Lytechinus pictus: one gene and its partner. Each later gene encodes a partner of the first gene's protein in a complex. Links are inferred from orthologs where the notes say so. Each region holds a gene or a part of one and is shown in the gene's direction. Other genes may lie near its edges.

Region 1 (7,202 bases):
ATTCAAGGCTAACTCTGATACAAGATCTGCACTCATTTAACTAGTTGGCAGCCATCTTCAACATGATATCATTGTCATCCTTTGAATGTAAAATAAATTCAATGTAGGAAGCTGAGACAGTTAGTCTTATTTTCCAAATAAATCAAATCACCTGAAATTAGGATTAGAATGTGAACACTGACTGATATATCAAAATAAACAGCAACAGATATAATTTCTACATTTTGATAGCTGATTTGCCCAATAGTAAGTACAATTTCATAATATCTTTATAGAACTCAAAAAAGAAACAAGTGGAATGCCTCTGGCCGTCTCACCTGCATCACGCGATTCAATATAGCAGCAGTGCTGATTTTGAAAACTACTATAACTCGCACAAGATGTTCAGTGATACTTGGTTACTCTTATTTCCACGTTTTATGAACTAGACCAATACACTTATAGAGATATGATGGCAATTCAACAAATACCCCCAACGTGGCCAAAGTTCTTTGACCTTACATGACCTTTGAACTTGATCATGTGACCTGAAACTCGCACAGGATGTTCAGTGATACTTGATTACTATTATGTCCAAGTTTTATGAACTAGACCAACACACTTTCAAATTTATGGCTGTAATTCAACAAATACCCCAATTTGGCCAAAGTTCATTGACCCTAAATGACCTTTGACCTTGATCATGTGACCTGAAACTTGCACAGGATGTTCAGTAATACTTGATTACTATTATGTCCAAGTTTCATGAATCAGATCCATAAACTTTCAAAGTTATGATGGTAATTCAACAGATACCCCCAATTCGGCCAAAGTTCATTGACCCTAAATGACCTTTGACCTTGGTCATGTGATGTGAAACTCATGCAGGATGTTCAGTGATACTTGATTAACCTTATGTATAAGTTTCATGAACTAGGTCCATATATTTTCTAAGTTATGATGACATTTCAAAAACTTAACCTTAGGTTAAGATTTTGATGTTGATTCCCCCAACATGGTCTAAGTTCATTGACCCTAAATGACCTTTGACCTTGGTCATGTGACATGAAACTCAGGCAGGATGTTCAGTAATACTTGATTAACCTTATGGCCAAGTTTCATGAACTAGGTCCATATACTTTCTAAGTTATGCTGTCATTTCAAAAACTTAACCTCAGGTTAAGATTTGATGTTGACGCCGCCGTCGCCGCCGCCGCCGTCGCCGTCGGAAAAGCGGCGCCTATAGTCTCACTCTGCTATGCAGGTGAGACAAAAAATATCTTTCCACAAAACATAGAAATTGATTGCAATAAAATTTTACCTTGATCAGCTAGATGATTTACTTCTCATCTTTCCCAATAACAAGTACAGTATCGTGTTCTTTTCTATCCTCAATCCTAGCTGAAGTTTTTGCTATCTTCTGAACATTGTAGATCAAAAGGTGGGTCGTGACCAAAGCAATTCCAACACTCATGAACTTGTGTTCCATTATAATCTTTTTGAGACCCATGGTAATAATATGTCCTTCGGAGATATTAAATTTCAAAAGTTTTTGGTATGTCCTAAATTCTCCACTGATTGCACAGGTATTGGTACTCCAGTGATCTGCAAAAAACAAAAGACAAGAAGTATACATGAACATCAGTCAGTTTTTTTAATTTGTTTTAAAAAGAAGACCAAAATAGACATTTATAGCCAAAGTCCGCAGTCACTTTGAAGAGCATCTACTCAAATCCTTAACTATCAACCTTGTTCACTTGGACAACTCTATAACTAGCCACATCTTTCTCCTGAATAGACCCAGAAACCTTAGTAATTTTCTATTATTTCATTATTTCAGTTTGTAGACACAAATTCAAATAGGCAGTAATTTTGTTATCATCCAGAACCCCACGAAAAAAATAATATACAGCAATAAACTCCTTTATCTATTCAACTGATGTCCTACTATATTACTCTTATAGCTCAACATCTTACTACAAGGATGGAAAATGTTTCCTGCAGCATTCAGATAAACAAGGTTAGATAGTACTTTATTATTCCTGGGTCCTAATCCATGCAAAATCTTGATTTTATCTTGATTGTGTAGTCTTATAATATATCCCTACAAGAAGGAATAATTTCTGCTTATCTTTTCAACATTCACACGGACAAAATTGACAAAGGTACTGGGATCAAAGTAAGCTTCCGAACATTCCTGTCATTAAGTTTAAATTAAAAGTCACAATACATTTTCAACTGTTTTTAAAAAGGATATCATCAAGACACTCGATAAAGTATGTACCGGTATGCATATTGCAGGATGCCTACTGTGTGATTTAGCTCATAATTGGAGGACACTCCCCTTTGCTGACTGTCAAACCTAAAAATACAATACTGAACACATGGGCTCTGCATGCATTATATTCTTTTACATATCATTGCTTTACATTAATATTAAATTAATTTAACAATAATAATGAAGAAATACATCCTCCAAGCAAAATTAATGAGAAAAAAAATTATCAGTGAACTGTCAAATATTGAAAAAAAAATTAAAATAAAAATTACTACTTCCCTTCTCCTTATGAAATACATCCATCTTAAATGGTGAAAATGGGTTCCAAAAATATTGCATTGCTGTTATATATCATTACTTTAAAATGGATAAATTTCACATTTTCTTACTACAGAACTATACTTACGACTAATTGGACTTCTCAGCTGGTGATTTCAAAGCCTTTGATTTGATATAAGCTGGAAGACGATCTGAAATTTTCTTCTTTGAGTGTCCAGCTTCTTTATTGAAGACAGGATCATTGGCAATGTGGAACCATCCAACGTGAATGAGTGAAATACTTATTAATCCTACAAAGAGTACCCTGTTACGAACAAAAAAGTTCTTCTTTGGTGGATTCATGATGCAGGTAACGTTTTCTTTCTCTTTCAGAACTCAAATGCAACAAACTGAAATAAAAGGGTAAAATAAATCAAGATTAGTTTATAACTTTAGATGGAACCTCAGTTCTTCATCTTATTCAGACCAGGAGTACATCAAGTTCAAGTTACCAGAAGTCAGAAGAAACAAGTCTTGAATGACTCTGCAATAGAAAAAAAATATATCTTCAATTCATCATTCGTTAACCAAGTCTAAGACAAATCATGTCCTGATAAAATGAGATTGAGTCCTCCTACTTAAAGCAGCACTCATATCAGGTGGATCTGATTTCTGGGGAGCGTTTCATGAAAGGACTTGTGGGACGTTTTATCCCATTTTCATTACAGATCGAGCATCTTAAACACATAGGAGTAATGCCGAAAATTTGTTCACAAATTATTATTACCTCATATTAAAGCCTCTTTATTTACTAAGTCGTATTTCATCCGACAGTTACCAAAGAAACAGTGCTTCTCAGCACAATCAAGGAAAGTTGTCAGGTCTGACAACCCAAACATGGTCGGGTGTGCGAGGTTATTTTAGCTATCTAAATTCTAACCTCGCACTAGTGTGAGTGCCCATGTCCTCCACCAAAATAAGCCGAATCCAATTCCCATCCACTAACTAAGTCATGAAAGGAGTACTCTACAGAATCAAATTAAGGGCTGAATAAGCACACTATACCCAGCAATCCACAAATTGGCAAAAAGCCTACCTACGATATCATTAGAGTGATATGGTGAAAATTTCTATAATAAATATTTTAGAACAGTTTCTGCTGTCAATTGCTCATGTTTGAGTGGTTAAACTAGCAGTGGGTGTCAGGTAAAAGCTTTATGCTGCATTATTGTTGTATTGCATGATTGGCATGGTTTGAATCCAGCACATGATACATTTTTTTCAGTTGTAAATTGATAACAATTCAGGCAATGCCAATGCCATGCCAATGGTGAATTTATTCAATAAGACAATTATTGTGACATATAGGCCTATTTATTTGACAATGACCGACCATGTCGAAAACCGACAAAATATCATGGACTTGCAGTGGTTGCACTTGATCTTGTGGATATGGCAGCTGAGAGTAAAAGCCTCTCCTAAAAGCCATATTGTTGGCAGAATTAGGAATAACAAATAAATGAATGTTACATCATCCGTCCATTTAATAAGTGAGGTAGCCCCCCCCCCCCCTTCTCTCTCTCCGCCTTACTTACTGGTCACAAGAATATCAATATGTGGGACCGAACAAAATGTGAAATTGGTATGGCAACTTGGAAGATCCGATGGGACCAATACTACTTACCGTAGATTGAAATCATAACATGATTGTGATATATTTAAGAATCCATATTATGTTCCTATTCGATTGGTAGAAATATAAATTATTTAGATCTAGATCTTGTACTTGCCTTTTCAGAAGTTATCAGCTGACAGCGTCGACATCGGCCGCATCGCGCATAAATTTTGGTTACACAAGATCGCTTTGTCATGTCGCCCTCTTATGTTGAGTTAATATGAAGTTGACAAAATGGCAGCGCTCAGTGGAACGTGCGTGAGGCAATGGTTACGATTTTTGGGTACGAATGCAGCAAGAACAAGGACTGCGGATCATAGCACTAACTGTAGAACTTTACCGTCTTCAAATAATCATGCCAGGCTATTAGTTCGCCCATTATCAGTGACTACATTGCTCAGAAATGAGGAAAAACAGCCTAATCAGCCGACGGAAAGTGCGATGCCATTGGTGGCAATGCTCCGCGAGGCCGAGGAGAAGGCGAAACGAGAAACAGAGGATGACCGGAAGAAGAAGGAGGAGCGAAAAAAGAGAACGGCACGCATCCAGAAGTGGGCAATGCGCATCACGGGGGGAATGCTTGTTGGAGCATCATTATTGACTGTTTATGAATTAGGTATCCCGACCTTCACCTTGTTCTTTTTAATCTTTACTTGTCTTTTGAGTCTACTCTAGTCTTAGTACTATTCCTAACCAGTTAGTTATAACATATGTTGATGGGGTGTCCAAACTTCGCGCCCTTTTTCAAAAATATTCATCAGGCACAAAAATTTTTCCACAAAATATTCATAATTTATACAAAACCAATTCAAGAAATAGTTACCACATTGACAGCAAGATCGTAAACTATAAAATCATGGACGAAAATGTAAAGTAGGTCAAGGGGTTTCGCCGGTATCGCGATCTCAAATTTATATTCCGATCGGCGAATGTGCGCTGTGCTGGAAAACCGTTCAGAAAAAGTGTGACCTTATTTCGCGGACCAAAGTTTTTGTGGAAATTAAAAAAAAAACTCAAGCTCAAAAAGTGACATATTTATATCAGATTGATGGCAAAATGCCATAGAATCGGTTAGTACCACATTTAACTCACACTTTTGATGATTTCTGCTTGCAAAATGGTGATATCGTGATGCTTGTTGAGAATATCAGATTTCTTCAAAACGGGCGCTAACGGTGACAAATTTGCCGATCTTTTGCCAATATTTTCATGAATACTGAACTCATCCTAAAGAAACTTACACCGAAGGGTAATTTTAGGTCGCTTTTCACGTTGATGATGTCAGATTTTAAGGATATTGGCTAGTTTTTTAGGTAATGACCGTCCGCGATGTTTGGACTCACTGCCATACTAGATCCGCTGTTTCGGAGGAGTTTTTCAACATTTTCTGATTTTTTTGACGGATGACGGCCATTTGGCCGTAGTAATGGTGGAGCTCCACTGATGCCTTAATTACAGCTTTAATGGAGAAAAGGGTGCGATTTTGCACCCTCCTGTATTACTCCTAAATTTTGCTTTTTGATGGGGGAAAAAAGGAAGAAATGATTAAAGATAAATTTATATTAAATACAATGAATCAGCTTACCTCCTTTCCGAAAAATATGCTGGAAAATAGCGAATTTTGATAAAAAACAAATCAGGATAATATTGGTGAAGGTTTGAGGAAAAACCAACAAAGAATAAACAACTTAGATCTAGGCCTATTTGATTTGTGTCTTTTGTGACGTCATATGCAAGCAGCTTTCCTACATATCATCAATGAGTTGTCATTTTAAATGGATATCTCAGACCAATATTCATTTTTTTTTTCTGCTGTTTTTATAACAAAGTTCTTTTTTTCAGGGTGAACTTCCCTTTGAGTAAAGTAAAGTAAGCTAGATGCTATCTGATATGGGTGACCATATTAATTATTATAACACACATTTTTTATCAATTAGATATTGAAGGTGATGGTGTTATTCAATTTTTAAAAATAATAAGAAGTTCAGTACCACCTAGACATTGGCCAAAGTCAATATGGGTGACAATCTTACATATTGATTGGAGACTTCCTTTGCAAAAGAATTCAACTTGAAGAAACAACAACAACCACTAAACAAGGCAATTTTGTTTCACTGAGGTCAGAAGACTCGGAGCTTCTCAGTTGCTCATTTATTTTATGTGTGGATGATAGGTTCACTTCTTGTCATATTGTTGTTTGCTGCCAGGGTATTCGCTTTGAAGCAAATATGAACCCCCCCCCCCCAAAAAAAAAATGGTCTCTAAATATTTCTTGTGCAGTCATGTTCTAAATTGTATCGAACATATTGAATGAATGATGTGAATGGTCTCTCAAACGATTCCACTTTTATAAACAATAACACCTTCGTCTTTATTGTTATAATTCTTTTCTAACAGTTTTGTACAGTAGGCGAAAGGTCCATGGGTATTTATTTTCTAAATGTAACAGAAATTTCATATTCAAGCCAATTTTTGAACTGTTTTTGTTTTGTTTAGTTGAGACTTCATGCACAATCACCACACCCCCCCCCCCCAAAGAAAAAAGAATATGGATATTAAGGATGATAGTTCAGTTCTTATGCTGTTTTGCCTTTTTCAGAATTGAAAAGCAATGACATATTAATGATAAAACTTTATTATATTGACACATTTGCTCAATGCACTTTGATGCTATATAGAAACATGACCTATGCAAAATATTTACCTTACCCCTTTTTTTATTTGTCGCTGCCCAATATATATTCAATTAAGATACAAATGTTAATTTCAAGTCACTCTTTACATTTCATTCTGGTAAGTTAAGGGGCTTAGCAGGTTAACTCTTTTTTTTTTAAGTCAAACCTTGCAACATTTTACTATATTGTCAACATTTAATGTGACTGTTTGGTAGATGAGGCATTATATATCCTTTTTTAGTTTGTTGCTTAATTCACTGAAGGGATTATTGCCTCATCAGATGAAAAGGAAAGATGCTGCTGGACTGGGTTTAGTTATTCATGTTTACCCATTTGA
Region 2 (7,317 bases), on another chromosome or scaffold:
ATAATTAAACTTTGCAAAAACTAGTCTTTTTACTTCACAATTTGAGTAGCGGTTGATCTTATTCACGATTTTCTACGGGGTGCCCGTAATCAGTATTTTTACGGAAATTTCACCTTTTTTAATAAAATTGGAAGAAGTTGACCAAAAAATATACAATATTCCGAAAGTGCTTCTTACGTCGGCTCGGTGTTCGTCAGGGCATCTCGTAATTACGGATAATTTTCGTTTCAGAAGGGGAAAAAGATGACACCAACATGACAATTTTTTCATGCCAGAACTCGAACACCCCGATTTATTGATATTTGCACTTCAACACGTAATTAATTAATGGTAGACTAGTCTTTATCAAGCATTAATTATGATCTCTTTTCTTTTGATATCAATTTGTTTTCTTTTATTTTTTGACCAAATGCTTTTTTCTTGTGTGTTAATTTGCCCATTATAATACACATATTTTATTATTTATTTAGTCTTTTTTTTTGGGGGGGGGTGGCAAATACTAAGGATTTAAAATGACCTTACATTTTGGGTGAACCCCCCCTTTTTTTTGCTTGTAAAATTTTTCTGTTAAAATAACATTACATTTTGGGTGATAACACTTTTTTTTTGCTTGCCATTTTTTTTTAAATAACCTTACATTATACTTTTGGTGATGACCTTTTTTTTTGGGGGGGGGGTTGTTAATTTTTTTTTTGGGGGGGGGTTAAAAAGGCCTTACATTTTGGGTGATAACCTTTTTTTTTCTTTGCTTGTCATTTTTTTAATGACCTTACATTATATTTTGGGGGATTTTTTTTTTTTGGGGGGGGTTGTTAATTTTTGGGGGGTTAAAAAGACCTAACATTTTGGGTGATAACTTTTTTTTTGGGGGGGGGGGTCAGGTCCCCCTACCTTTGGGGACAGATTTACGCCCATGTCAAATCTTTCTGTTAAAAGTACCTTACATTTTGAGTGATCTTTTTTTTTTTGCTTGCCATTTTTTTTAAATGACCTTACATTATACTTTTGGTGATAACCTTTTTTTTTTTGGGGGGGGGGGTTGTTAAATTTTTTGTTGGGGGGGGGGTTAAAAAGACCTTACATTTTGGGTGATAACCTTTTTTTTCTTTGCTTGTCATTTTTTTAAATGACCTTACATTATATTTTGGGTGATTTTTTTTTGGGGGGGTTGTTAATTTTTGGGGGGTTAAAAAGACCTTACATTTTGGGTGATAACCTTTTTTTTTTGGGGGGGGGGTCAGGTCCCCCTACCTTTGGGGACAGATTTACGCCCGTGGGAGGGTTTCCTTTTTATTATAATTTTTCAACCGTTTCCTTTTATTTATTTTTGTATAGATCGGGTGATTTTTTATCCTTCATATACAGACCTTTTTGGTCAGAATACCCCTATTTTTCATTTTTAATATTTCTTTATCGGGCGATTCTCCCTAATATTAAATTATTTTGATCCAATATCTAATTTTGGTCATATATCGAGAACCACCCCACGGATCCTTGAGACCTTGACTATGATTGATATATAATTTCATCTACATGTTGCTATTGTTGTCATCATTATCATTGTGACATTACTTTTGTCATTACTTTATATTAAAATTATAATCATTATCTCGAACATTCTTACCTTTTTCTGTGATGGTATGGCCAGGACCGAATCCATTTTTTTCTTTCTCTACATTCTAGGCTGGGTATTTTGCTCACTGTGGGCATGCAGGCTATGTATGAACAGTATATCCAATATGCAACGGCAGCACCAAGATTTTGACTAGGAGGCAAGTGGGGGGGGGGGGGGGTTGGTTTCAAAGATATATTTGGGGCCAAGTTTGGCAAAAGCACATTACAATTTACTAAACACGTTTTTCCAGGTTTATTTATTTTAAATTATCAGGGGACAACTGGGGAATGCCCCATAATGCCACCCCCCCCCCCTTGCAACCACTTTTAATTTGTATGCCATGGACAATGCCCTATTTTGATGGAATGAAGATTTTAATATTAACTATTTCTAAAAATTACAGGACTAATAACTCAACTAATACATGTTCTCTTAAGCTCCTTTTCTTATTTCCCTTTTTTTCCTCATTTTATCCCTTTATTCTATCAGGGGGTAATTGTTATTTTCACAGCCACGACTCATTGAACCCCCCCCCCCCCCCCCCCGTTGTATACTTTCCTGCACTTTTATAACATGATATTCTCTCTTTCTCTCCTATACTATAGAGGTGGATTTATTGTCATATTTACAAGAAGATCTGTAGGCCTACCAAGTCCATAAAGATGTCTTCTGTGGATAGGCTATACCTAGCCATCAATGTTCTCTGCGGTTATACATATACTTTGAAATGTAGAAAAAGATGCTTTTACTGTTAATATGGAAAGTTTATTTGTTTTTAATGAACAGTTTCACAGTGATCATATGATTAATAATGCTTTCACTGTTTCACAACTGAGACTGATTGAAAGATGAACGCAAAAGATTTTGAATTGAAAAAGACTACATCATTCATACTCATTGTGCTTTTTATTGCATAGTATATAAGCGATACAATTATGATTTTGATTTTGCTAATCCATAAATGATTGGTCTCAAAATAAATATGTTTCATTTATGATTACAGCATTTCATCATTGTAGAAATATTTATTCTGCTTAATTAATAAGTATAAGATACAGAATGGATCAAGAATAAAAATAAGGGCTGCAGTGATCAAGGAAAAAAAATGTCTACTGAAATGATGCATGACAGGCAATAATTTTCCTGGTATCGCATCGCAATTTGCTCCACACTTTTTAAAGACTGCTACGCATAAATTCTTTCGTAAAGCATATTTTTACATATAGGACTGTACATTACTTAGTTGAGAGCTAAATTATGACCAAAATGCTATTCGAATATGTAAGCAAAATTATTCCCTGCATGATATAACAATTACTTTTATTTGGTTGTCTCATCTTTCTTTCTTAAAAAAAAATGATTGACAGTCTATGATCACTAAAAACAATTTTTAAATCTCATTTTGGGACATGATAAATGTCTTTGTGTTATTATATTATAATTAATGCATTAATGCTCATAAGTAATTTATTGAAGTTGATGAAACCATTAAAAGTGCTTTATGAATATATTTTATGATTTTTTTATATTTATAATTCATTTATTCATTTTTATTTTTATTTATTTATTTATTTAAGTTGATAAAACAAATAAAAATTACTTATGATCTTTTTCAATTTTGTGTATTTATTTATTCATTTTTTTATTTACTATTACATGTATTTTTTATTTAGTTATTATTGTATTTACTGTATAGTTTCTGTTATGTTTTTGGAGATAAAGGAATCGATAATAAGGCAAGAGTGATCGATATATATATCATCAGTAAGTTATATTTTATTATGCAATCGGAATTGAGCGCCCATGCAGAGTGTGCTAAGGTAAGTGGTAAACTTCTATTTCGCACTTCTTTAGATGAACCAAGAAACCTGCAATAAAACACAGAAATCAAGTACCGGTAAGTGATATATGGAAATCAATAAATCAATAATGTTAAATCTCAATATGAATATAAAAAAAAAAACTGAAATACTCCTACTTGCCTCAATAAAAGTAGCGAGACAACAGACATGCATTGTGGTTATATCCTCCAAAATATATTCCCTACATGAATTACTCCATGAAATAAGTTCATATACTGGCAGAGAGAAATTATACCAATGTGATAATAAGTAATAATAACACAAATGATATAGGCCCATATGAAAGAAGATGCCAATGATGGTGATGATATTGATAACATTGATAATAGTAAATATTATTTTAAGAATGACAATAATGAAAATGACAATAGATATAAAAATATGATAATGAATCAATAACAATATTAATAATTTTATAAGTCATAGAAGAATAGTAATTGAGAGGAATACATAAAAAAGCTATTGCAAATAAATGTATCCATTCTCATTTTTCTAAATAAACAAATTAGAAAATCTATATGCACAAAACTCAAAATAAAAGTAAGTGATATGACTGAAATTATTCTAAAATTGAAATATAAATTAAATGTAGCAGAAACTCATTCAAACAATGAAATTTATGATTTAATGTATAAATAGTTGAAGAAATTAAAAAATAACTACATGGAAATAGATAAAGAGGTGAATTAAGTCAATAAACAATGAATTAACAACAAACCAATCATTTAATTATCACAGAGCGAGGGGGATATGATCGCGCGATCATCAACAGGCAAATTGTATTGCGCCATCTGGTGTTCGAATTCTGGCATGAGGTGTACGAATTCTGGCAGGCTCGAAGCCTTCGGCGATCGCCGCGCCACCCGAAACTTTCCCCAGAAAATCCAAATCGGACGGCACCTATGGAAAGCTTAGAATTTCGGCTACATCGCAAGCCCAAGAATGTAAGCCAGAAACACCGTAAATACATTTTATGCGACCTTTATTGAAAAGGTGTACGAGTTCTGGCGGTTATACGGTATGTCTGCTGTAGACAAAATGGAAACTCCAGTGAAAGTAAGCACTTTTTTTATTCACTCATATCATTGATGTTTATAATTTTGATCATTCCAAGTCGATGAAATATTTGCAAAAATATCTGTGTATTAATTTGAATCACGATTGGTACCGTAATTGTGAGACCCACGATGTTTTGAAAGACGTTTAATTCGTTCTGTTTTGTGTCGCAAGCGCTCGCGGTTGTCAGCGTCTTTGCCATGTCTATTGCCGCCGGAGCTTCGGCATGGTAATGTGACTCTGCGGGTTGCACTTGTGGCTCGAGCAGCTAGCAGCTACTGCTTCATGCTTCGGCACATTTGGAAAGATTTTATCTGTCAGTTGATTGTATTGGCCATTGTATTTCTATTGCTATGATCATATATTCTGATTTATGACTTATGTCATAAAATTTGAGTTTATACTAATTTGAATAAAAAGATTATTTAAGAATCAGACAAGCATATAATATAAATGAAGCTGAAAATTTGTATCCAATTCCAAATACAATTTTTTTTTGACATTTCATTTCAGATTTTATAGGTGACGATATGACATCACTCACATTATTTTTTTTTTTTGGGGGGGTATTTTATTCTATGAGAGAATAATCATTTAAAAATACTACTCTTGTTTTTTTTTCTTTATTGTTGGAAACAAAGTTTGATTCATCCCTGAATACTAAGTCTGACTAAAGTCCCGAAGAGTAAAGGGAGCTCCGGCCCGCGAAGTGGGCCTGGGCCCGGGATTTTGTGTCCGGGATTGTGTGTCCTGGGCCTGGGATTTGTGTGTCACGATAGACATTCATCCATATAATCGTAGTAAGTGCATAATTTCTGTTTCCACATTTTATTAAGATTACTATTGAGACCCCAATCTACCCCAGTGACAAACATTTCCTATTCAATTTTTTCTACAGAGAGGGTGCAATATATCACTAAATGCAGAGGAATCCAGCAACTGTTTGGAATTTTAGAGTTATATTCAGTATTCACTTTAATTTTGTATTTTCCTATAATAATAGGAACATATTTTAGAAATTTCGGCACAGGAAATATTATTTCTTTGCATGATAAATCAAGTGCGTAGCTTTAGGACCCCTTCTCCATTCGAAAAACAAGGCGGGATTTTCGTATTTAGTGAGTTTTTCTTGGTTAAGGATCTCTATAATATTGACCACAAATAAGTGAAAGATTATTTGTCCAAATATTAAGATGAGCAAAGTTTTTATCATTTGTAAACAAAGTGCGTAACTTTAGGTCCCCCCATCATACAGTTTTGAGCTAGATGGTCAAATTGCATTTTATATTTTTCCATTATATTATTTAAAACCATTAGCCTATTCTTATTTTGCCACAGGAGTCAAATGAGCAAAGCACAGATTGAAGATGTTGAATGAATTGAGTATCAGAGGGACGCAATACATCTTGACCTCACTGTCATACAGAGTGATACAGAGGTGCACATTATGCAGTACGAGGCCTTCAGTGGATAAATGGCAGAGTCCATATCGACAATTCACCCCTACTAGGCCATATTGTGTGAGGCAGGTAATTTATCCAAACCTGGTAGTAAAATGAAATCTGAGGTTCAAGCAGAAATATGAGAAAAAGCAGGTTGCTGAACAAAATTATGAATAATCATGTAGAAGTCCAACGGATATAGTACTTGAATATTATAAAAAAAGATCACCAAGTCTGTGCTCATCTTGAATTGGCAATATACATTAATAGTTAGTTGATTCTAAAAAGGGAAGGGATAGGCCTATCAACCCTCAGATGTGTCTTAAAAATTAAAATGTGTATTGATTTTGGGTTACTCTCCAATTCCTGTTTCTTCAGGTTGTAGTAAAAAAAACATTGTATAAAATATTTTGATTGGTTCTCAGAAAGGAAAAAAATTGGTGAAAAATTTGTAAAATTATTGCATTATAATATTTTTTTGTGAATTTACAAATTACTATAAAATTGCATCGCTGGGACTATGAATATACATTGAGAAAAAGAAATCATCCTAATTGTTTGTCTTGTATTTGATTTACACAATACTTATTTTCCATCTTTCACAACTTTTCCATCTTTCACATCTATTTGGGATGTATTTACATGCTTTCACTATACCTTTATTAGATTTCATTTTATTTTGAGCACCGGAGTGGAAAGGACAGGCAGGAATAAATATTCAAATTTTTGTCTGATCATAAATTTTAAATAGAATTGAACATTAGGTCCAAAATTTCATATTGAAGCAACCCCTTTTTCCATCTTATTGCTGGAAAAATGTATGAATAACAAGACAAATCTCTTTATGATATACCTTAAAATATAACACCCAGGCTTGTTATTCTAAGGCCATGGTCATGGGTGCCCTCTTGACTGGCCTTGATTCCTCTCTCATTGGCCTTTTTTCATTCCACATTTGTGTGATCATACAAAAATGTGGAAATTGGCCTTGCCCTGAAATTATTTCAAATTTTTAAAGTCTGTAACACTAATTTGTGTTTGCCTCTGTGGTGGTTCTCATCAAATCTTGGTCAGCAACCGGATGAGGGTGTCTTGTCTCGAATCATGGACATAGATGTAGACCTAATTGTGATTTTAGCTCAACTTTTTTTACCTCTTTGCATTTGATAGTGTTGAAGTTTTCTCATGTGATTTTTAGCTTTTTATCTAGCTCTTTAAATATATTTGTAGTAAAGAAAATAATGCTTCTGTTATCATTTTCCATTAATGATCCTTTACGATAGAAGTTTCCAGATCAGAATGTGATCTGTCATCGATGGTTCTCTACTACTACGAGGGGCAC

What was found.
Region 2: mitochondrial import inner membrane translocase subunit TIM50-like (region 1) and mitochondrial import inner membrane translocase subunit Tim21-like share a complex: the UniProt entries of both Homo sapiens proteins name them as parts of the TIM23 complex. The link is inferred for Lytechinus pictus from reciprocal best matches to the Homo sapiens genes TIMM50 and TIMM21.

What each region holds. Positions count from the first base shown.
Region 1 is NC_087251.1:24,158,375-24,165,576, forward strand, and holds the start of mitochondrial import inner membrane translocase subunit TIM50-like, read left to right. Parts: upstream 1-4,089; 5' UTR 4,090-4,424; coding exon 4,425-4,806; intron 4,807-7,202. UniProt on the Homo sapiens protein: Essential component of the TIM23 complex, a complex that mediates the translocation of transit peptide-containing proteins across the mitochondrial inner membrane. Has some phosphatase activity in vitro; however such activity may not be relevant in vivo.
Region 2 is NC_087246.1:62,745,772-62,753,088, reverse strand, and holds the start of mitochondrial import inner membrane translocase subunit Tim21-like, read left to right. Parts: upstream 1-4,273; 5' UTR 4,274-4,533; intron 4,534-5,174; 5' UTR 5,175-5,333; intron 5,334-5,871; 5' UTR 5,872-5,900; coding exon 5,901-6,062; intron 6,063-7,258; coding exon 7,259-7,317. UniProt on the Homo sapiens protein: Participates in the translocation of transit peptide-containing proteins across the mitochondrial inner membrane.